Xenopus tropicalis: one gene and its partners. The protein of the gene in region 2 purifies or fractionates together with the protein of the main gene of each other region. This does not show direct contact. Links are inferred from orthologs where the notes say so. Each region holds a gene or a part of one and is shown on either strand. Other genes may lie near its edges.

Region 1 (7,473 bases), on a different chromosome or scaffold from region 2:
AGTCGGGTCGTTATGTCTGTGGTCAACTTCTTCAGTCATTGAACATGTTATTTGAAAATATAAATCACGAGACTTCTTTGTGTGAGTACACCAACTTACTGTTTATCCTACAAATAACAAAACCATTAAAGGTGGATTAAAATGTACATGATATTATTCATACTTTAGCTATACACATTTCATGAGAAAGGTGCATTTTTATTGTTTTATTTAAAATATAGAGCATAATAGAATAGAAAGTAAGTAGTTTGATTCCAGGTCAAGTAATACGACTGGAAGTGACGGTGTCGCTGAGACATGGCGTAGGTATGACAAATACAAAGCTGCAATTTCTAGATCTTCCAGCAGCTCGGGCATTATAGCTTTGTTGTCAATTGAAGCACATACATAACAAGATTTAAGTGGAGGCAAATTTCTTGAGGATTAAAGAAAATGCATAGGTGTGAAACTCTTCAATTACTATTCAATATTATACCAGGAGCCCCAGACTTTATCGAATATAGTAACTGTGCCCCTAGTCTCATATGTGAGTTTATACAAGGGGTCAACCATGTTTACCAAATTTCTTAGCCATGATAATAGGCAGGGAGGTACCCATCCAGTGCATTACTGCTGTCCAGAACCTAAAGACATGCGGACATGACTAGATCGTATGAAAATAGTTAGCAGATCTTTTTCAGATCAGTGATCTATTTGGGCGGGAGCCATCTGTGGAGCAATTGAGGGGGTCATACACGTTCAGATTTTAGTCTTCTTCCGGCGAACATTTGGATATCAATTGTATGTTTAAATGCAACAATCTAAAACTAACATTCAGGACTGATAAAGCCCTAAAAATAGCAACTCACAGATTGTTCTGAACATGAAATAAATGCCAAACACTACTTGTACGAAAGTGACTTCCTGTAAATGCATTGTAGGTCCCCCAAGGATATCGTCAGATACACAGTATATGCGCAGATTTTAATGTTATCTGACCGAAATTTCCTAACCTGTTTAATTGACTAAATAACCGATCGCCATGTTGTGAAAATTATCAGGATGATAATTTGGAGCCCACACATGGTCCTAAAATAGCACAAAACTATGTTTCTTTTGATTATATTGGTGCATGTATGGCAAGCTTTAGTGGCGTGATATAAAGGTGGCAAACGTTTTGTACTGTATTAGCTTACCTATGATGGAGATAAGGCAATTATACATAGTGTCAGTTGCCTCTTCCCAATCATTTTGAGCGAACTTTGGTATTTGGAAAGACCATTATTTCCCTGCCGAATAAAAGGCTTTGGGGCCTGTTAAGAGCAGGTTTTGGTATAAGCCTGGTGAATGCATATTTTATTGAAGATATGCACTTTAAAGGTATACTGTCAGGATTTTTATGGTATACTTTTTATTTGTAAATTACACTGTTTACATAGGAAAGAATTCACCCTACCATTTATTTAAACTTTTATTCATGAAACCAACAAATGTATTTTTTTAGTTGTTATATTGTTGTGTCTTACTACTGAGTGCTATTCTGATATTTACTGGGAGCTGCTATCTTGCTACCCTCCCATTGTTCTGCTGATCAGCTGCTGGGAGGGAAAGAGAGGGGGTGATTTTACCCCCACTTGCAGCTCAGCAGTTTGACTGAAGTTTGTCAGAGCACAGGTCACATGACTGTGTCATCCTGGGAAATGAAGAATATGGCTAGCCCTGTGTGAAATTTAAAATTAAAAAAAACTGTTGCAGGATTCTGCTGGAGAAATTCTGTTAACTGATACATTTTCCCATGACAGTATTCCTTTAAGGATAAGAAATATGAAGGCATTAGTCTCATTGCACTTTCTTAAAAAACAGTAGTGCACATCTCCCTGCCCTTGTGCTGCCATTCCTTTTTAGCAAACTAACCACTCATGTACAAAGATGAACAAACTAAATTGGAGAGCGGCATTGAATCTTTCACGTGAATTTCCAGTTCACATATCGGAGTGAGGTGAAAGAATCTGTTGTAAAAATATGATTCCCCTGCATCATATTTAATAAATGATAACAGAAAATGTTTTTAGGCAGTGCACATTTGCCAAACGATTTGAAGTTTAATATTAAATATATGTTGAACATAAGCTAATTGTGAAGTGTCAGCAATTGCAGCATTATAAGCAAATTATTGTCACTTACACATTGCTTTACTTACAATTATATTTTAAAAGGTATTTCTGATCGTGATTTTTAATTTGCACTTTTTTTTCCAACAGACTATCTACTCTCTAATAACCATGTAAACTCAATCATCGTCCACAAATTTGACTTCTCTGATGAAGAGATTATGGGTTATTATATTTGCTTTCTAAAAACCCTTTCTGTGAAACTTAACAATCACACAGTCCATTTCTTTTACAATGAGGTACGTAGTTCTCTATTGTGGATTTATTATAACAATGCCAGTATTTGTGTCTTTTGTATATTTGGATAAATATAGGTGTGCACTGGCATTTTATTGCAACCAAATGTATGTATTTCTTTTTAAAATTTTGTGTAATATGTGTGTGCATTATATAGTTACATAGTTTATTTGGGTTGGAAAAAAGACAAAATCCATGTTCAGTCTCTTCAAATGAACCCCAGTGCACATGTAACACATACATAAACGGCTATCTGTACACACAAACATATAAACTATATATGATACCTATTCTGAACTAACCATTTCCGGTTGTCTTGGATATTATGCTTGTTCAAAGTAATCATCCAAGCCACTCTTAAAGGCATTAATAGAATCTGCCCTCGCAACATCACCCTGCAGGGCATATCTCTGCACTCACCATGAAGAACCACCTACACTGCTTCAAATGAAACTTAATTTCCTTAGTCTAAAGGGGTGGCCTCCCATTCTTTGATCTTTTCTAAGAGTGGAATGATTCCCTGCTATCATTCTAAAATGTCTTCTAAAGAGGAATCCTGTCCCATTGCAAGTGCTTTTTCTCCAGAGAAAACAACCCCAAACTTTACAATCTTTTCTTTAATTCCCTTTTTTATCCAAGACAGAGGCTACTAAAGTAATTCAAGTACTATGTGACACTTCCTAGAGGTACACAGCTTGTTGTCCACAAAAATCCCCAAATCCTTCTCAATTAAGGATGCTCCAAAACACTGCTATTTAATTTGTTTGCCATTTGTTATTTCTACCAAAATGCAACTAACCTTGCACTTACCAACATTGAATCCCCATTTGCTGCCAATTTCTCCATTGTAGTAAAATCGCTGTGCAAAGTGGAGGCATCCTGCATGAATAGAGACACTGCTTAAAGGAGAAGGAAAGGCATTTTGGAATTTTACTGCAAATAGATTAGCCACATCAGTGCCAACTATATTTAATTTGTAGAAAGCTTTACCATACCTGAGTGAGCAGCCCTAGAAGCTCCATCTGTTTGCTTAAGACAGCAGCTGCCATTTTAGTTTGGTCTTGGTAGCTTCCTTGCTGAAGTTGTAGCTGCTGGTAGCTCAGATCACACATTCTGATGGGAGTGGGAGTGAATTCTTATGGAAGGGGGGCACAGGAGAAGGGAGAGAAGATAGAGCTGTGCAGACTCTGGCCCCGGGAATAAAGGATTTTCCTGAGGGAAGAAGTCCGCTATCCTAAGGACATGTTTACAAAAAAGGAGACAAGAAATCATGTATTTCTTTTGCAGCCTTACTGTGCTTATGACTATATTTACATAGACCTTTCTGATAAAGCTTATTTAGTTTTTACCTTTCATTCTCCTTTAAAATGCCCACCACCAGGTTAAAAAACCAAGGACAGACCCTGCAGTTCTCCACTAACAACACTGTCTAGTTAGAATATGTTCCATTTACCTCTACTTTTTGTAATCAATCCAGGGGTCATTTGGGAAACTGGGCAGGAAGTTTTGACCCAGGCAGCCCTTCAGAAAACAGGGCTGTCCGGGTCAAAACCGGACAGGTGGCAACCCTAGGTTTTGCTCACCTCCAAGTAGAAAGCAATTAAATTAGTGTGGCAAGATCTAATATGCATAAAATTATGCTGACATGATTGTGATTTGCAGTGTTTTAAGGCATTTTTTTGTATTCAGTGTATTCAAGTGTCTTGTACTTTATTAGCAACATCAATTGGAGGAGAAATGGCACGCACTCCTTGGTCCACTAAAACTTGTCTTTATTATAAGGATCTTAAAACAAAAAAGGTCCTGACGCGTTTCTTATACAAAAGATACGTAGTCATAGGCACATACAAATGTCGTGTGTTGGAGGTGGAGGGTCCGGAGTTTATACACCCGGACCACACAATTTACGGGGTGAGCTTATCACTTAATTTATAATTAGTTTTGGTGGAGAGCCTGGAGATGATACACCTGTGCTCACATTTAAATGGTTTTAGAAAGTGTTCACTAACTTTTTTTTTCCCCCATCCTGTTACTGCATAACTGAGCCACTTACTTTTTAGGATTGATGTTTGTACTTTATTACCCCTTCAAAATCTTTCCTACCACCGATTTTAAACTAACAGGCCTATAGTTTCAGGCTGAGCACAGGATCCTTTTTTAAATAGTTGAAATTTGCCAGTCTTTCAGCACCATGCCAGACCTCAGAGAATACTGAAAAATTAAGTAAAGAGGTTTGGCTAAGCTCTTTTAAAGGAGAAGGAAAGGTAAAATCACTGGGGGTGCCCTGTGATTGTAATTGCTTACCTTACACCCTGGGTTGGTGCTTTTGTTAGGAGAAAACCACACAAGCCCGGGGTAGCTGAGAATGAGCAATCCTCTTCTCTTTCTCAACTATCTTCAGAATCCAGGGGGTGGCGCAGGTGTGCCAATTTGTTGCCGCAACTTTTTAAAAAAATTAATTTGTTGTGCCAACTAGTACATTAACCTGGGGCAGCAAAATCGAAACGATTAGTTGCTGCAGCCAAGGTTTTTACAAGTAACGGCGACTAATCACCACCTTGTGTCCTCGCCCCAACTCTCTTCAAAAATTAAACTCATATACTGCCTCTGAAGCACTGGCATAACATCTAAGTCAGTCTTGGCAATACCTAAACCACTGTACAGTAAAGCGCTTATTATTTGTGTTTGTAAGTTCCTCTTGTGTTTCTTAACACTTAGCATTAAATATGAAGTGTAATGGTATGTAGTTATTTATCTGTTCTTGTATTTTTACATGTTTTATAAATGTATTGTTGAATGTACATTGCTGCCTATCTGCATATATCTATACAACTTGACTTTTTTGTGCTGCGTTTCCCAGCATTCAAGCTAGTAACTGCACGGGACCACAGGCATATACTGCTTGGCTCTTTGGAGACAATAGGGTAAAAAAAAAAACTAAAGTGTGTTTTTGTTTTGGTATAAAAATTATTTTCCAGATTAGTAAATGCTTTTGCTTCATCTTCTGCTTAATTTAGTAATGGAAGTATATTGTTGGTTTTTCAGCACACCAATGATTTTGCTCTGTACACAGAGGCCATTAAATTTTTCAACCATCCAGAGCATATGGTCAGAATTGCAGTGCGAAACATTACTTTAAATATCTACAAAGGTAAGTATGTGTTTGCTTTTGTATTAAAGCGCTACAAAACTAGATGGGAGACATTTATAAGAAAGATTTATAAGATAAAGATTTGATTTTGCAAATACAGCAGCAAGTCTTACCCTAAATTGTTAACCAGAGCTACTATTCTCTTTAATGGTTTAACACGCTGAACTGCAATAGCATAGTTGTACAGCAGAGGTCACTGTTGTATTTTATTAGCATTTATAGCAATCACTGTAGATTTGTATGACAGGCTTGATGTGCAGTCTGTCTCTTGGTCACTCTTATATAAAAAAAAACAAGTGTACATACTCCTACAAAGGCCTTACCAGAATGTTAGCTAATATCTGCTCATGCCTTTTATTATATTATTATTATTATATTTTTCTAATGCATGACTATTACTTGAGCACAAATTGCATTTCTTACCCTTTACCTGGTGCTATAAATATGGATTAAAAATATAAAACTGGCTGTTGTCCAGTAATATCTCTTTAGCTTCAGCAATAGTTGTGGGTTGGTTAAAAACCAATGTATGCAAGTAGATTAAAGGTTAACTATACCCCCAGAATGAATACTTAACCAACAGTTCATATATGTTAAGTGATGTATTAAAGCAGTGGTCCCCAACTTTTTATTGTGCCAAGGGCCGATGGCAAGCAGGTAAATTTTTCCAAGGACCAGGGGGTGGGGGGGCGGGATGCGCGCAGTGTTCATTCATGCCTTTATACGTGAGGCGCATTCAACTACATCTTTATACGTACAGGCTTTCCTACGAGCCTCTATATGTGTGGCGCGTTGGTCTGCACCTCTAAACCCCCATGTCTTTATAGGCGCAACACTTTTATACGCGCATATTCAGCGCGGCCAGGAACAGAGGCGGCCCACTAGAAAGCAGCCCGCGGACTGGCGGTTGGGGACCCCTGTATTAAAGAATCTCCCCACACTGGAATATTGCCCTTTTACATCCTTTCCCTTGATCCACCATTTAGTGATGGGCTGTGTGTTCCCTCAGAGATCACATGACCAGAAATAATGCAGCTCTAACTGTAATAGGAAGAAGTGTGGAAGCAAAAGGCAGAACTCTGTCCATTAATTGGCTGATGGGGCCTAGCATGTATGTGTGTGCCTTGGCTTGTTTGTGTGCACTGTGAATCCTATGGGCCCAGGAGGCACCAATTTTCTGTTAAGGAGTAGCCAATAGTACATACTACTAAAAAAAGTATATTTTTATGAAAATGGTTTATTTAGATGAAGCAGGGTTTTACTATGCAATGAGATTTTTTATGCAATATATTTTTTTATAGAGAGCTATATTGTTCTCAAGTGGACAAGTAGACATGGAACATTCTTTAATTTAGATGCCATTGTGCAGTAACAATGACAGAGTACTAATTGAATACATTATGCTTTGATTGCAGTGTAGAAGCACTAAGTATTTAGAATTTGAACCTAAGCGCATCTCCAGTTTTTCCCTGTCATCCTTTGAAAAATAAAAATAGCCTTTCTGTTTACAGGTTAAAAAAAAAAAAAAAAAGCAAAGACAACAGTTACTAGAAAGCTGCATTTTCAGCATTGTGCTTTACCCCAGCTGCCATCAGCAAAAGATGTCCTTCTTAGGTGTTTAAAATCTTAGACTTGATGTTTTGCAACTAAGTGGGTTACAGAGCATATTCCATCAGTCAGTAAATGGAGAGAGCAGCCCAGAGCCAAGTACCAAGTCCAATATAGCAGCTCTCTGGCTTGTGTTACAGGAATTTATTTTGCCACTAACATCGTTAACATCAATGCGGGAGCACCATAATTGAAACGTTTGATGTTAGTAAATGCTTATCTGTGATGCAGCAACATGATTCTGTTAACAACTCAACAGTTATTTTGATTGGCTTCCTTTCAATATTTGTCTTTGTTACAAAATGCTCTTTTGTATATATGCTAAGT
Region 2 (8,101 bases):
CATAAAAATTCATGGAGGTGCCAAATAAGGGCTAAGATTGGCTATTAGGCAGCCTCTTTGCACATTATCAGCTTACAGGAGGCTTTATTTGGTAGTACCTCTTGTTTTTTTATTTAACCAAAACTTGCCACCAAGTTGGGAATTCAAAAATAACTACCTGGTTTGGGGGCACTGAGAGCAACATCCAAGGGGTTAGTGAGCAACATGTTGCCCCCAAGCCACTGGTTGGGGATCACTGCTCTAGGGTCTTCTCCCACATTCTGAAAACAGAGTACCCAGAGGATATCCAGAGATAGGGGAGAACATACTTGCAGATATTTTACTGGTTGGAACTACAGACGCCAACATCAATGCGAACCACTGCAGTGCCAAGCTGCAGTACTGACCATAGCAACAAGGTAGTATCCTCAGACTTGACAAGGAATTTAAATTCTATGTTGCCAATGCCACTGACCGAACTTCTGAGGCCACTGAATTGGCATTTCTTGGTTGTTCTTTGATCTAACATGTTTGCTTGCAGCCCATATCAGGCTAGATTAAAAAACTTCTCTGAATAAATGATCTTTCTGTAATTTGGATTTCCATACCTTAAAGGAGAAGGAAAGCCTAAGTCACTTACACCTAACATTTTGGCACCCCCAAGTGATTTAAATTGCTTACCTTATACCCCGGGCTGGTGCCCCTGTTAGGAGAAAACTGCACCAGCCCAGGGTAGCTGCGAACGCTTCCTCTTCCGCGTTGGCGCATTGCGCATGCACATTAGAGTGAAAAGCCGAACTTAAACAACAAAGTCAGCTTTTCACTCTAATGCGCCGGCCCAGGGATTTTGCCGCAGAAGAAGGAACCGCTCGCTACAGCTACCCCAGGCTGGTGCGGTTTTCTCCTAACAGGGGCACCAGCCCGGGGTACAAGATAAGCGATTTAAGTAACTTGGGAGTGCCTAAAATTTTGGCACCCCCAAGTGACATAGCCTTTCCTTCTCCTTTAAGTCTGCTAAATTATTATTGAAACTTTAAATAAATGAAACAAACAAAATTGATTTGCCTCCAATAAGAATTAATTATATCTTGGGGTAAAGAACAAGGTTCTGTTTAATTATTACAGAAAAAAGACTTAGTCAAGAAATAAAGAAAAGAAAATTACTTTTTAATGGTGGACAATAAACACACTAATATTGCTTTGAGCCACCGTACAGTTAACACTCATAACATCCACAGCTGGCTGCAACTCCAGCTATCATAATGTTATTTGAGCAGTAAGGAACACTAAGGGCAGGCTATAGGCCAGAAATGGACTTGGTACATCAGCGTCACACAAGAGGAACGCAGCCTTCAGAATTTAGGGCCCAGATTCTCAGATGACACTGGCTCATCGCATCGTGCTAAAGCCACAAAGGAATGCAGTCATGGATTTAAGACTTACTCACGGTATTTAAATGCCATAAGAAACTCTACATCTGAGCCCAGCCTTCATCATCTTACTTCTGGCTGTGATACAGGCAAGCTGTTCTATGAGCAGAATGTCAAAGTCACTGATTAAAATGATAATGTAAATTTACTAGGGATGCACCAAATCCAGTATTCAGTTCGGTATTCGGCAGGGTTCAGCCGAATCCACAGTCCTGGCCGAACCAAATTAGCATATGCTAATTAGGATTTGGAAGGGTTAAATGTTAGGGGGGAAAAAAATCTCCTTCCAAATCCTAATTATCATATGCTAATTAGGATTTGGATTGGTATTCGGTCGAATCCACTGCTGTCCAAAAAAAACTTTGCTGCACATTTAAAGTTTGCAAAAGAGCACCTGGATGTTCCACAGCAGTACTGGCAAAATATTCTGTGGACAGATGAAACCAAAGTTGAGTTGTTTGGAAGAAACACACAACACTATGTGTGAAGAAAAAGAGGCACGGCACAGCAACATCAAAACCTCATCCCAACTGTGAAGTATGGTGGTGGGGGCATCATGATTTGGGGCTGCTTTGCTGCGTCAGGGCCTGGACAGATTGCTATCATCAAAGGAAAAATGAATTCCCAAGTTTATCAAGACATTTTGCAGGAGAACTTATGGCCATCTGTCCACCAGCTGAAGCTCAGCAGAAGATGGGTGTTGCAACAGGACAACGACCCAAAGCATAGAAGTAAATCAACAACAGAATGGCTTAAACAGAAGAAAATATGCCTTCTGGAGTGGCCCAGTCAGAGTCCTGACCTCAACCCCGATTGAGATGCTGGGGCATGACCTCAAGAATGCGATTTACACCAGACATCCCAAGAATATTGCTGAACTGAAACAGTTCTGTAAAGAGGAATGGTCAAGAATTACTCCTGACTGTTGTGCACGTCTGATCTGCAACTACAGGAAACGTTTAATTGAAGTTATTGCTGGCAAAGGAGGTTCAACCAGTTATTAAATCCAAGGGTTCACATACTTTTTCCACCTGCACTGTGAATGTTTACATGGTGTGTTCAATAAAAGCATGGAAACATTTAATTTTTTGTGTGGTATTAGTTTAAGCAGACTGTGATTGTCTATTGAGATGAAGATCAGATAACATTTTATGACCAATTTGAGCAGAAATCCATACAATTCCAAAGGGTTCACATACTTTTTCTTGCAACTGTAGATGATAAATAACTTCATATCGACAAAAGCAGTAATGGTTGCTATATCAATGCTTTTATCTTTATAACAAACTTGAAGGTCAATTTTGGCAGCACTGCATGTTTCCAAGATTGTTTGCCTGAATTTTTTCTAGGGAAATTATACTGCGGGGCACATTTACTAATCCACAAACGGTCCCAATGCGTTTTTTTCGTAATAATCTGTATTTTTGCAACTTTTTCATCGCCGTTGCGCCTTTTTCGTATTTTCGGCAACTTTTTCATCGCCGTCGCAACTTTTTTTTTTTTTGCCATTCGGGATTCGAATTCGTGCTTTGGTAAATCTGCCCCAGCCTCTTTAGTAAATAAATTAAAATATGAGTGCTGAAGAAGCATAAAGTGGTTGCCATTTTTGTAAAGAAACAAAAATATAATTATCTTTATGTAGCATACACATACTTATTCCGTGTTCTGCAGTTGTAACCAGTTATTTCTGAGGCAATGCTTATGTAAGAAACCTCACCTTACTAGTGTCCTCTTACAAGAAGTGAAAAAGAACAAAGGTACAATGCAGAAACATTTGAGTTACAATAAAAGTAAAGGCTTTCCTTCTTGCACCTCTTTAGAAATTGCTCATTTATATGGTCACGTTCTGTATGTACAACTGCTAACTGGTTTCCTGAATACTTCACAACCGGGCCATAAAGTTTACTTTCAAATCTGACTTACAATGATTGGACTTAATATGTGAAATGTCTACATGTAAAGCCTTTACCATAAACTCTGTCACACAACTTCTCACCTAAAGCTTCCTGTGCTGGGGGCACAGCCCTTTTGATACCAACCTACATCAGATCTCATTCCATTCTGCACTCCTGTAATAAAGCACACGACTTCACTTCCAGTGCTTGTAATAAATAAATGGGTCAATGCAACATGGAACATATAGGACGGTGAACTTACCACTAAAATTATACATTAAATTGTATTACTACACTTGATGCAAACAACAGTTGTTTAAACATGTAGAGTAATTGTACATGATACATAAATGGACATGGGACTAATTCATTGCTGTTACTGGTTCTTTAGGATATCCTGCTTACTAGTTTTCATGAGTGAGAACAGCCGCCTTTCATTAGTCAGCTGTTTCATAATCCATAGACAGCAATAAAAAAACATCCAAATCTTTTCAGAGCCCCAAGGGGTAGTTTCCCAGACATATGCAATAAGTTAAAAATAGTTTGTGTGACTTCTCCATAAACTTTACAGTTCATTTATGGGAAAAGAAGATTAAAAGAACACTACTTAGAAATAAGGTACACACTGCATAGTCAAAAGTATCTGAATGCCCATACCAAAAGAAAGAAACAGCTTTTAATAGGAGTGAAATGTACACATAACCTTAAATCATTTAAAATTAGTAAGTAATGTATACAAAAATTATACAGATTAAAAAACATCTAGCACGAATAAGGCCTAAAAGTGCTCATAACCCGGGGGGGGGGGGGGGGGTTGGGTGATCCATTCAGACAGACAGTGAGCCAAAAAAAGAGATACTGTACAACTGACCATACACAGGGATTGCCTTATTATGTGGTCTTCTTCATTTCCTCCATTGCAGGTGCACCATACAGAAGTAGACAAGGCACATCAGCACACAAAGTTTTTAGTTTGGACAGATCACCTGCAATCCAAGAGGATTTCAAGGTCTACTGAAACTGGCCCCTCAGCTGACAAACATGCAAAATGCGCCAAACAGCCTGACCAAATCTAAGGCTGATGCCACACGTGGCATTTTTTCTCAGCCTCAAAACGCCGTACAAGCCACACAGCCCCTGACTATGGCGTTTTTCAGCCTAGTACTGGTGACGTAGCAAATCCCGTTTCCATGGTGCTAATAGTGCGAAATAGTAAAAAACGCCACGTATTTCCGCTAGGTCTGGCAGCTGCCTTTGTGTATACATAGGAATAGCTTGCTGTGCAAATACTGGCGTATTTCGGTCAACGCTTGAAAAATCCGTGCTAAGGCGTTTTCTAGCGTATTTCTGCATTGTGTGGTTTGCTTCAAGTCTTTTCAAGTTATTTCTATGGATGATGATATCGGGCGTTTTTAAGAATTAGAAAATACGCAGCGTAAAAACGCCACGTGTGGCATCAGCCTAAGGCAGGTATAGCAAGATTAAAGCCTTTTGCACAGCTGCACCAAATGCAATTCCGACATTACAACAGTTACATGTAAAGCCCAAGCCTTAATTGTAGTATATATTCTAGGGATTCTTAAACTGTAGAACCGGACCCAAAAAACTGCACAAATGCTATTTAGGTTACTTACCCGATGTCCTTCATACATTGGAATGTCTTCAACAATAAGTCACAATGGGGTTCACGAATAAATTTCAACTAATCATTGGATTGTAAAAACAACTTCCAGACTTAATCTGGTTCACCAGACCAAAAGGTTCAGAAACTCTCATCTATTGTTTTTTTTACATTATGTGATGGGGTACATCATACAGCACCAGGTTTTCACAGAAATCAAATAAAGATAACAGTTATTCACCAAAAAAACAACTGCCAAAAGCTACCACCCAAAACAAAATATGTACAGTATGTTTTCCAAGATACATAATGTACCATAGTTTTATTTTAAAGGAAAAACCTAATATTTTTCCCACCCTCCACAGAACCTGCAGCCATACCCTGCAGTTTAGATACAAATGGCAACATATGGGCTGCTGGAAGTAGTAAAACAACAATAACTGAAGGCCAGAGCATAACTAACTCTCTAAAAGTGAAGGGTGCCAATGAAAGTCCAGCTTGATGCGGATATATACAAATACAACCATGAGTACAACTACCCTCTCTTTCTCATATACTGAACTTCTGTAAACAGCAGGAGGGCCACACAAGTCAGAAGCAGAAGGGATACATATTTTATACAATATATATATATATATATATATATGTTGTTGGGGTAATCATAGAAAATGTTCGGGGTTACCATTCAGACACAAGCCCAAAACTAGTTCCAGCTAATAGCAAATGTCCCCCCATCATTGGGGTGTTTAGAATAGCACTGACCTACAGAGCCCACACTCCTGTAAAGGCAAATGACAGGTCAGTAGTTGTGACTTGGCCATTGGTACGTGCTATATCCCAGCCCAATCAGGCAGCTGTATCTAAAAGGAGCAACACATTCAATGAACACAGTTCAGATACCTACAGTACTGGCAGCGCCTTCCCCAGAGACCCACACTGAGCCTTCAAAGGTGCAAATAGTGTGGCCCTGCGGACAATGCTGAACTACAAGTTGGAACAGTTCCAAAAAACGCAGCTGAATAAGTAGGAGAGGGCCGCAGGTTGCACACCACTGTCATACACACTGCACACAGACGCCTCAGCACCTGCTTCGTTGATTTATTTGCCTAGGTGGCCTCGCAGCTCTTGCTTCTAATGAAGAATTTATGAATTCTACTACGCAAACGCTTACCGTGACGAGCCCCGGCCCCGACAGACCAGACGCCGCCTGTCCCGGGGCGGGGGTCTCTGACGCCCGGGCACTAGGTCTCCCTACTTCCCCCTATCAGCAGCTGACGCCACCACCGTCCACAGCGCTCTACGGATGCTGCTACGCAACCTACCGCAGGCCCCACCCACTTTCGTAACAGGCAGCTTATAAAAACCAATCAAGAAAAAGAAATTAAACAAATGGGCGGGACCTCCAGTCTTGTTGACCAATTACCTGCAAGGGACAAAAGTGAGTGGAGGCGGGAGATACCGAGGTGCTCCGGAACAGGGGAGAACCTTTAAACTCATTCCTTGGATGTTGACGTAAATATGCCTGCGTCCAATCGGACTCTAGTTGCTAGTCAATTGTTTCTCTACGTCACATTCTCAGGAGGTGTGGATCCGCCATTTTGGATTTTACCATTTATGTGGTGTAATAGGGGTACAATATGCAGTGCATGACATGAGTGTTATTTGTAGTTTACTTGCTCATGATGCTTAGTCTTTATGTTGTTATTACTTATATTACAAACATTGCTTAACTCAGCCAGAAAAGTCATTTTACCTATTAACCAAGAAGCTTCTGTGAATGACTGAGTATTGGGTTTGAGTAAAGCAACGCGAATAAGCTACGTAATGATAACTCCGCGCCCTCACAGAGAAATCTTCACTTGTTCTATCTCTTGGCATTTGCAGTCTCCTGGAATAGCTCCGCCCGTAGCCTGGGCCGCGCCCTATTATTAACAGCTAAAATCATTGACTTGCGCAACATATAATCGTTTATTGGTTAATAGAAGAAGGTGCGCCATTTGATTGGCTCATTGTGTCAGTGTTCGGGCGCCTATAGGTCAGACCAGCTCGACTACTTCCTGTAAGCGGCGAGAAGCTAGTGTGGAGTGTGTGCGGATAAGGCTGCAGTACCTCTCGGCTGGGGATGCTGTGCGGGTCGAGCTAGCGTTCTGTCTATAGCAAGGTATGGGCTCAAATACTGAGTGGCTGTGAAAGCTCCTGGGGTTCTGCGGTTTGGCCCTTGATAGGAAGAACCGCTGGATACTGAGTTCCCCGATGCCTAAATTGCCTTAATAATACCGTCCTTTCACCTAATGAAAGAAATAGTCATTCTAAACAACTTTACAATATGCATTCATTACAAATATCTATTGGTATTAAAAGTCATTGAAACATGGAATTACTCCTAAAAGCAGCTATCTGCCTACTTATATTCTCTTTCCTGCAGGTTCTGATTTTTGAAACAATGTAGCAGAAGCCTGATGAACGCAAGCACTTCTGCTACATTGTTTCAAGAGTCAGACAGAAAGGAAGAGACGACCCCTTCTCTCAGTAGCAATTACATTTTCAAATAACTTTAAAACCTATGACATTTATAACAAATTTACAACAGAAATTTTCTTAGAATTGAATTTTCTTTTATTAGGCAAAAATTGTGTTTATTTGTTTAAATGGTGCCATGTGGAATTCCCTCCCTGGACAAATAGATGAATTATGAGTAGGCACTGGTGATCTAATAGGGGTGTTGGTAGTACAAAGGGTTTTGCCCTAACAAATTGCTAGTGTCTGCCACAAGACTCTGTCCATATAAATGATAATTAGGCTGCAGTGCTTAAAGAACATGTCAACCCCAAATATAATGTATTGCCGAATAAAATAACACATCATTCTAAGCAACTTTCCAATATGAATTTATTAAAAATGATTAGTACTTTAAAAGTTATTAAAGCAACATTTGCTGAGCTCCTGGTTGTTAATTTTTAAACAATGTTGCAAATACCAGGCTCCTCCAGCAATACAGGTCTGTCAGTCTGCTGCTTGTGTTATGTTGTTTCAAATGTCAGAGCCACCGGGACTGGCTAACACTACTTCTAATATCCGTTATAATGAATTTGTAATGAATGCATATTGCAGAGATGCTTAGAATTAAGTTTTTGTTTTTTTTTATTAGGCAAAAAATTATTTTTGAGGTTGACATG
Region 3 (7,473 bases), on a different chromosome or scaffold from region 2:
TCTTGGGTCCAAATAGTAGATCTTCAATACCATTTTTGAATTATCCTTTGAATAAAGTGTCTTTCAGAAATCACAGATGTCTCAATCAGCCTTTTAAAGTTTTTGCAAAATATCTATTCTAGAAAAAAAATATCCCCTTTAATGAAATAAAAGCTTTAGTGTGTGTGGGGGCAAAGGATATCGTTAAAATGGTGGATGTGGAACAAACAGTTAACAATTCCTTCTCCTCGATCACATTTGCCTGTTCTCGGATGTGGGAATGAGTGCCGTTCTCTGGTGTATAGCGTGTTATATTTAATTAGCACTTTTTAATGAAGCGTTATGGAAAAGAGAAGAGGCTCTGTGTTTGTAACCATGTGAGCAAGGCCTGTAGGATATTGCGCTATTGTCCCCCAGGCTTCAGCCTCAAATGCAGAAAGACAAAACTGTCTTGGGTGGCTAATGAAGGGTTTTTTCACCTACCAATATATCACACACACATATATATATCTGAAACAGAAAGGGGTATTAAGAACATTTTTGTTATTATTGTATGTATATATATATATATATATATATATATGTGTGTGTACATTTTTGGGGGTAGAGTTTTTCTGCATCACCGCTACTTTCTTTTCCCTCTGTGCCTTGGTCCTTATATCTGTGCAGAATACATTTGCTACACTTTATTCTGCCCCAGCTGGGTTCCTGGCCTATGGGTTGCCATGTACGCATGGCTGGCTTGCTGCAACAGATGTCAGACCCCCTGAATATTTTATAAGTGAAACAGACTGTGAGCGGCAGCAAAGATGAACACATGAATAATGTAGGAGTTTTGGCGGGTTTGCCGGTACAACCATTACTTGGCTGGAATAAAACTATTCGTATAAGGTTCTTCCCTGTTTCTGGTAGATGTATATTGTTTTATTGGAATGCCAATGGCCTTGAGTTCTTGCTTAGACGGACAAGACAAAAATTTTAATTTGATACTGTGAAGAGGTGCTTTGCTTTCTGCTTATTTTAACTTTGCCTAAGACCTGTTGCCAGCCATTGCATCATAATGTGGTTTTATGCAGACCCATGGTCCAACAGTCCAGTTGCTTAGACTTAATTCTGCTAGATACCAAGGTCCAGTGAGCTGCTGTCCATCTGGAAGCGCCAAATTGGCAACTTATTGGTCTTTGTATGGATAGCTTAAGATATGTTGTTGTTGTTCTAGAACCCAAGCCAGGTTCCCATATTAAAATAGTAGAACATTATTTTTGCCCTTTGCCAACACAGAACACTCAAGAATACTTTAGTCCTCTAGACTTTGCCTGGGTTCACGTTAGCAACCAGAGGTGCCATTCTATCTTTTTAGCTGGATTCCGGAAAGCATGGTGTTGACCGCGCATCTTCAGATCTCAAATCCGCCCTGAAGCGAGAGAGGGAGGAGCACCAGCACCTCCTTGCCGAGTCCTACAGTGCAGTCATGGACCTCACCAAGCAGCTTCAGGTCAACGAGAAAAACTGGGCCCAAGAAAAAGAGGAGCTCCTCAATCGGTTCCAAGATGAACGCAAACTTGCCGACCAGCAGATGCGGGAGCTGCAGAAGAAACTTAAACAGGTGAGGGCTCAGCTGGCATCTAATCTATGAGGGAGAATTCTTGGGCCTGTGCTGAAGGGTTCTGGGAATTGAAATGAATTGACTGCAACTCCGGTGGCCAGATCTGCCTTGTGATATCTCAATCATATGATACGATATGTGTCGCAGTCACAATCGCGCATGATTTGCTAACCGTTTCATTCAACCTACTTGTTCTTAGAAATGGAAGGTGCCATTAGTTTACAGAGCTTTTGGAAATTATTTGTTTCCTTCTTTGGAGAAATTAGTTTTTACCAACTTTTTATTTAGTTGAAATTAAATACATTTGTTCCCCAAAAAGGCAGTCTTGTTCAAATGCAGGCTAATCCCTGCTTAGTGCTGCTTGCTGCCCCCCCATATCTAACCGTAACCTCATTTTGCTTGAATTGAGTTTATAGAATAGATCCAAATGATGCAAATCCTTTATCCCCCCCGCAGCACAAATGACTGTGTATCCAGTACTTGCTGGAAGGAAAATTCTGACTCCAAAACAAAGTATAAATAGTTTGTGGGATGGTGGCGCTGAGTGGAATCATATTCTTATCTCTTGTAGCATTACAGGCAACAGAACAGCCAGAGAGGCCTCATTATCTTGCTGGTATAAAAATAGAAATGTGGAGCTGGAGAGAGTAACTGCTTGGGCATATAATGTAGCCTTCTATCCTGCTCTATCCCGAATAAGTTAGATGTTAAACAGGTTGTGTAGAAAGCAGTTTTCTTAAAAAAATAAATAAATAAATGCATTTGAATGTATAGTTTTTTCTTTTGTTACTGAAGTATAGAATTTCAACTGCTATCTAATTGCTAAGGCTTTGTTATCCTAGCAGTCAGGCAGCAGTTGAAAAATCATAACGAATCAGTGGGAGAGGTATACATAGTACTGCAATTCTGCCCATATATATATATATATATATATATATATATATATATATATAATATATATATGTGTGTGTAAATGCAAAAATAGAAATGTTTATTACTTGATGTTTCGGTCTCACACAGAAACGTTCATCTGGAGTCATCTTGTTTTTCACTCCAGATGAAGGTTTCTGTGTGAGACTGAAACGTCTATTTTCTATTTTGGCATTTACATTTTGCTCACAATTCTTTGAATCCTAGGAGTGCTGTCCTTGTTCCAGTATATATATATAATATAGTTCATCTAAATGTTCAGGAGCAAATGTTGATCTGGGGGATTTCTGCATATATATAATATATATATATATAAAACTGAAACAGCCTTGATTACTACAGACTAATGAAATAGTGCCCTCTAGTGGCCAAAGTATCAACATTTACAATCTAATTAATTAATGATGAGCGAATTTTTTTTGCCAGGCATGGTTTTGCAGTGAAATTACGCATGTCACCATTGGCAAATTGTTTTGCCACAAAAAATTTGCGGGCATGTAAAAAAAGGCACACTTGTGCAAGTACCTGCATTTTGCTGATTTTTCCCAGTTTCGTTAATTTCTTTGCCAAATCAAAACGGGACGGATCACTAGTTATAACAAACATATAGAATCCTATAATAATATCCTCTCCAGCACCAACATACCCTGATCCTATTCATGGGGCTTGTAGATTATAAGTGCATTTTTTTTGCATCCATTACCCCACAGCAACCAATTAGGAAATGGCTATTACTATTCTATAAAACTGTGCCTTTGCCATGTGTATACCATATAACAGTACCTGTTTTATATTGACTGCAGAAGGAAGCAGATTCCTGGGTGAAAAAAGAACCTGAGAGGAGGAGCAGCTGCTGGAAAGAGGTGAGCAAGTTGGTATTCTCCTGCTGTATTTTCTATGGCAGGTACATGGGCTTCAGTTTGCCCACCCCTTGCTTAGGGGCCAGTCCATCCTACAGTTAGTCCTACGCTGATGCTTTAGCATTTATTGTTTATATTTTTAAGGGTAAATATCACACACCTGAGAATAGTTCTCTACTTTTCAAGCCCAATAAACTGCCTATATAGTACCCCCACTGAGCTTATTCTATTTGGGTTCTTAAAACTGGGAGCCTCCATATATATTAATTGCAATACAACTCCCAGCATGCATCTACCATGGGATCCTGGGAGTTGTAGTTTAAAGCAAATACAAGTGGCAGTTTCCAGGCCTAACAAATGTAGGTGCATTCCTACGCTTTTAAACGGCACAAATATTGTTGCATGTGCTGCTTTCCCTTGCTATAAAAGGCTTCTCTTGCATCAAGCAGGGGCTTCAAAAATAGATCCTTCCACCACAGAACATCCTCTCACTTATCAAGCTGTTGCTTTTGAACCATCGGACATGCTTGTTTTGTGTAGATAAATTGAAATCAACCCAAATGCATAATTTGTCCCCCCCAACCCTCTGGTTCGGCTGCCTATTCCAGATGGCTTGTGGCATAGAGAAATAAAACAACCTTGCTTTTGGGCAGCTCTAGCTAATTGTCAGGGGAGTGTGTGGCCTGACCCCAAACAGCTGCCACCTACATTGAAAGACTATGGTAACTCTATAGTTCCACAGCTGCTCTCAGACATGCCTCTTAACCCTTTCATTCCTACAGCGAAAAAGATGCATCTTATTGAATCTGCATGCATATCTGCCTTTACTTTCCAAGTGCCAGTTTGCCAAGCGTGTAATAAATAAGCCCACCTAAAGGTGCCCATACACGGGCCAATTCTAGCTGCCGATATGGCTCCCTTAGACTGATTCGGCAGCTAATCGGCCCGTGTATGGGCACTACCGACGGGACTGCCCAACCGATATCTGGCCTGAAATTGACCAGATCTCGATCCGGCAGGTTTAAAAATCTAGTCGGATCGAAGACCGCATCAGTTTGTTGATGCGGTCCCCAAACCGACTGCCCCATTGCCGCCAATATAATTTGATCGTTTGGCCCATTAGCCCACACGTTCCCGATATCGCCCACCCCGTAGATGGGGATATTGGGTGAAGATCCACTCGCTTGGCGATCTCACCAAGCGAGTGAATCTTCACGTGTATGAGGACCCTTAAGTTTGCCGAGATGCAATAACCCATAGCAACCAATCAACAGGTAATATTTACTGGCCACTTGTTTAAAACCAAACATTTCATTGGTTGTTCATAGGTTACTGCACCTGGGCAAACACTTTTTATTACAGCTTTATGTAAGGGGGTTATAAGTAGGGTTTTGTGACTTTGTTCTCATGTCAAAGAGCATGATGCCAACAGATATGCCTTCCCATATAAATCCTGTGCTTGTTTTACCCTAGGCTGTCAGCAATAAACTTCAGGACAAAGACATTGACTGTGACTGTGACTGTGACTCCGATGCCAGTGTGACCAGCTTAAAAAGGTAAGGTGTATTGGTACTGCTGTTTAGCCATTCCTGTACTTTGTAACCTTCATCCATTGAGCCCTTGTACCAGTATCAGTTAGTTTGTCTTTGGTGTGTGTGGTGTCTTTGGTGTGTATGATTTAAAGGAATTGTTCAGTATAAAAATGAAAATAGATAGACTGTGCAAAATAAAAAATGTTTTCAATGTAGTTAGCACTAAATGTAATCCATAAGGGCTGGCTAACATACCAGCCAGGACTTGGCTTCCTCCTTTGCAGCTCTCTAACCTATTAAATGTCAGTAACCAATCAATGACTTGAGGGGTAGATATATGGGACATAACCGTTTGCTTTGGAATCTGACCTGGGTGCTAAGAATCAAAAGCAAACTAAGTGAACAGTTATGTCCCATGTGGCCCCCCCTCAAGTCGCTAACAAACTAAGAGGTTGTAGAGCTGAAAGTTGGAAGTTGGGTTCTGGCTATTATGTTAAGGTCCCCATACACGTGAAGATTCGCTCGCTTGGCGAGAGTGCCAAGCGTGCAGATCTTCGCCCAATATTCCCACCTACTGGTGGGCGATATCGGGAACGTGTAGGCTAATTTGATCGCTTTGCCCTGGGGCCAAACGATCAAATTATATTGGCGGCAATGAGCAGTCGGTTCGGGTACCGCATCAACGAGCCAATGCGGTCCCCGATCCGACTGAATCTTTTAAAATTTAACGATATCTGGCCATTTCAGGCCAGATATCAGTCGGGCAGGCCCCTCGTTTCTGCCCCTACACGGGCCGATAAGCTGCCAAATTGGTCCAAGGGACCAATATCGGCAGCTACAATTGGCCCGTGTATGGGGACCTTTAGATATCCACTCATTCCAGCCTTTATAGATTACATTTTTGGTTAACTATGAACAAGAACAACATTATTTTTTTTTATCTATTTACCCAGTTTTATTTTGACACTGAACTGTTCCTTTAATCGGTTGCTTATGTAGAAAATGTGTCTGAATATAAAAGTTGAATATAAAAATATAGCATTTCACTTCCTGTTCAATTTTGCTTTAGGACCAAATCTGTATCTTCCATGTCAGAGTTTGAAAGTTTACTCGATTGTTCCCCCTTTCTGCACGACAACACATCCTCTGCTAATGGCGAAAATGCCAATGAGAGGAGAGGTCTACCAGCTTCTACACTCTTGGTCAACGGTTCTAAAAACTCAGAAAAACATTGTTCATATGAGGGTAATGACAATTCCCTGGCCGGACATCTTCCCAAGGGTAACCTGGTGATCTCATCCTGGGATTATACGATGGCCAAGGCTGATAATCGTGTGGATGGGCAGAAGCACATACAGAGAAGCTACACGGCGCCAGACAAGACAGGCATTCGGATTTATTATAGCCCACCAGTGGTTCGGAGGCTCGATGTGCCTTTGGTCCAAAATAAAGAGGATAAACTCATGGTAGAAACGGGATTCCTGTTTACCATGGCCAAACCAAAAGAATCAGAAAAATCAGACGGGTTATCTGGGAATTCGTATAGCCGCTGGCTTTGTAATTTCTCCAAAAAGCAGCGGGATTTGTTGGATGGCGATTCAGTAAAAGACTCTTCTTCTGTCCCAGGGTTTCCATCTTCCCTCGGGGATTTGGAGATTTCTGGTAACATGAGCGATGATATGAAAGAAATCACAAATTGTGTTCGACAGGCGATTCGCTCTAGCTCCTTAGAAAGGAAACCAAAGAGTACAGCAAGTCAGACTGTTGGGCTGTCCAGTGTTGGTGTTCAGACTGTTCAGATGGTTAGTGTTGGTCTTCAAACCGATCCCACTAGATCAAGCCTAACATCAAAAAGCTGGTCACCAAGGAGTTCTTCTCTGCTGTCTACTAGGACCAAACACATTTCAACATCTTTGGACAAAGTTCATTCAAGAATAGATCGGCCTTGCTGCTCTCCCAAGTATGGGTCCCCTAAGCTCCAGAGAAGGTTATCTTCCAAACTAGATGGGTCCAAGGATCGGAGCTTGTGGAATCTGCACCAGAATAAACAAAACGGTTCAGCTTGGGCAAGATCGACAACAACTCGGGACAGCCCTGTCCTCAGTAACATCAACGATGGATCATCTAGTTTGTTCAACGTGGTTGATCATGCTGGAAGTACTGAATCTATCTGCAGATTGGGCCTCGGAGAAAGCAGAAGCAAATCTGATACTCCTAAGTACGGTATTGTGCAGGAGTTCTTTAGGAATGTGTGTGGCCGAACATCCCAAAGCTCCAGTGCTGTGTCTGAGAAGAAAGAAGCAGAAGACTGCAACAAACGACCTGATAACCATGACCACTGTTCTTCTGTTTGTCACTCCACTTATAATGTGTCTAAACTACTGAGCAAGAAGGTACCAAGGCAGCACACCAGTGATGAACAGAAGGGAAGTCCTAAGGACTCTGAGGTTATTGCTACATCTACTAATGAAGTAAGTGCCATTTCTAGCTTTCTTTAGTCACTTGTGATGCCGTTTCTTTGTTAACCTAAAATAAGTCCTCAACTGTTGCTATAAAAATTACTGAC

The links. The genes of interacting proteins can lie anywhere in the genome.
Region 1: the proteins of rnf41 (region 2) and clec16a purify together in Homo sapiens (affinity purification with mass spectrometry; 3 studies listed by BioGRID and IntAct, with this or other methods). This does not show direct contact. The link is inferred for Xenopus tropicalis from reciprocal best matches to the Homo sapiens genes RNF41 and CLEC16A.
Region 3: the proteins of rnf41 (region 2) and soga1 purify together in Homo sapiens (affinity purification with mass spectrometry; 3 studies listed by BioGRID and IntAct, with this or other methods). This does not show direct contact. The link is inferred for Xenopus tropicalis from reciprocal best matches to the Homo sapiens genes RNF41 and MTCL2.

What each region holds. Positions count from the first base shown.
Region 1 is NC_030685.2:36,907,773-36,915,245, reverse strand, and holds part of clec16a (protein CLEC16A), read left to right. Parts: coding exon 1-81; intron 82-2,240; coding exon 2,241-2,389; intron 2,390-5,432; coding exon 5,433-5,538; intron 5,539-7,473. UniProt on the Homo sapiens protein: Regulator of mitophagy through the upstream regulation of the RNF41/NRDP1-PRKN pathway. Mitophagy is a selective form of autophagy necessary for mitochondrial quality control.
Region 2 is NC_030678.2:137,439,151-137,447,251, reverse strand, and holds the start of rnf41 (E3 ubiquitin-protein ligase NRDP1), read right to left. Parts: upstream 6,767-8,101; 5' UTR 6,679-6,766; intron 6,508-6,678; exon of another isoform or gene 6,349-6,507; intron 6,264-6,348; exon of another isoform or gene 6,097-6,263; intron 5,968-6,096; exon of another isoform or gene 5,830-5,967; intron 3,479-5,829; exon of another isoform or gene 3,406-3,478; intron 1-3,405. UniProt on the Homo sapiens protein: Acts as E3 ubiquitin-protein ligase and regulates the degradation of target proteins. Polyubiquitinates MYD88. Negatively regulates MYD88-dependent production of pro-inflammatory cytokines.
Region 3 is NC_030686.2:43,216,318-43,223,790, reverse strand, and holds part of soga1 (protein SOGA1), read left to right. Parts: intron 1-1,339; coding exon 1,340-1,585; intron 1,586-3,318; coding exon 3,319-3,378; intron 3,379-4,848; coding exon 4,849-4,931; intron 4,932-5,976; coding exon 5,977-7,378; intron 7,379-7,473. UniProt on the Homo sapiens protein: Microtubule-associated factor that enables integration of the centrosomal and Golgi-associated microtubules on the Golgi membrane, supporting directional migration. Preferentially acts on the perinuclear microtubules accumulated around the Golgi.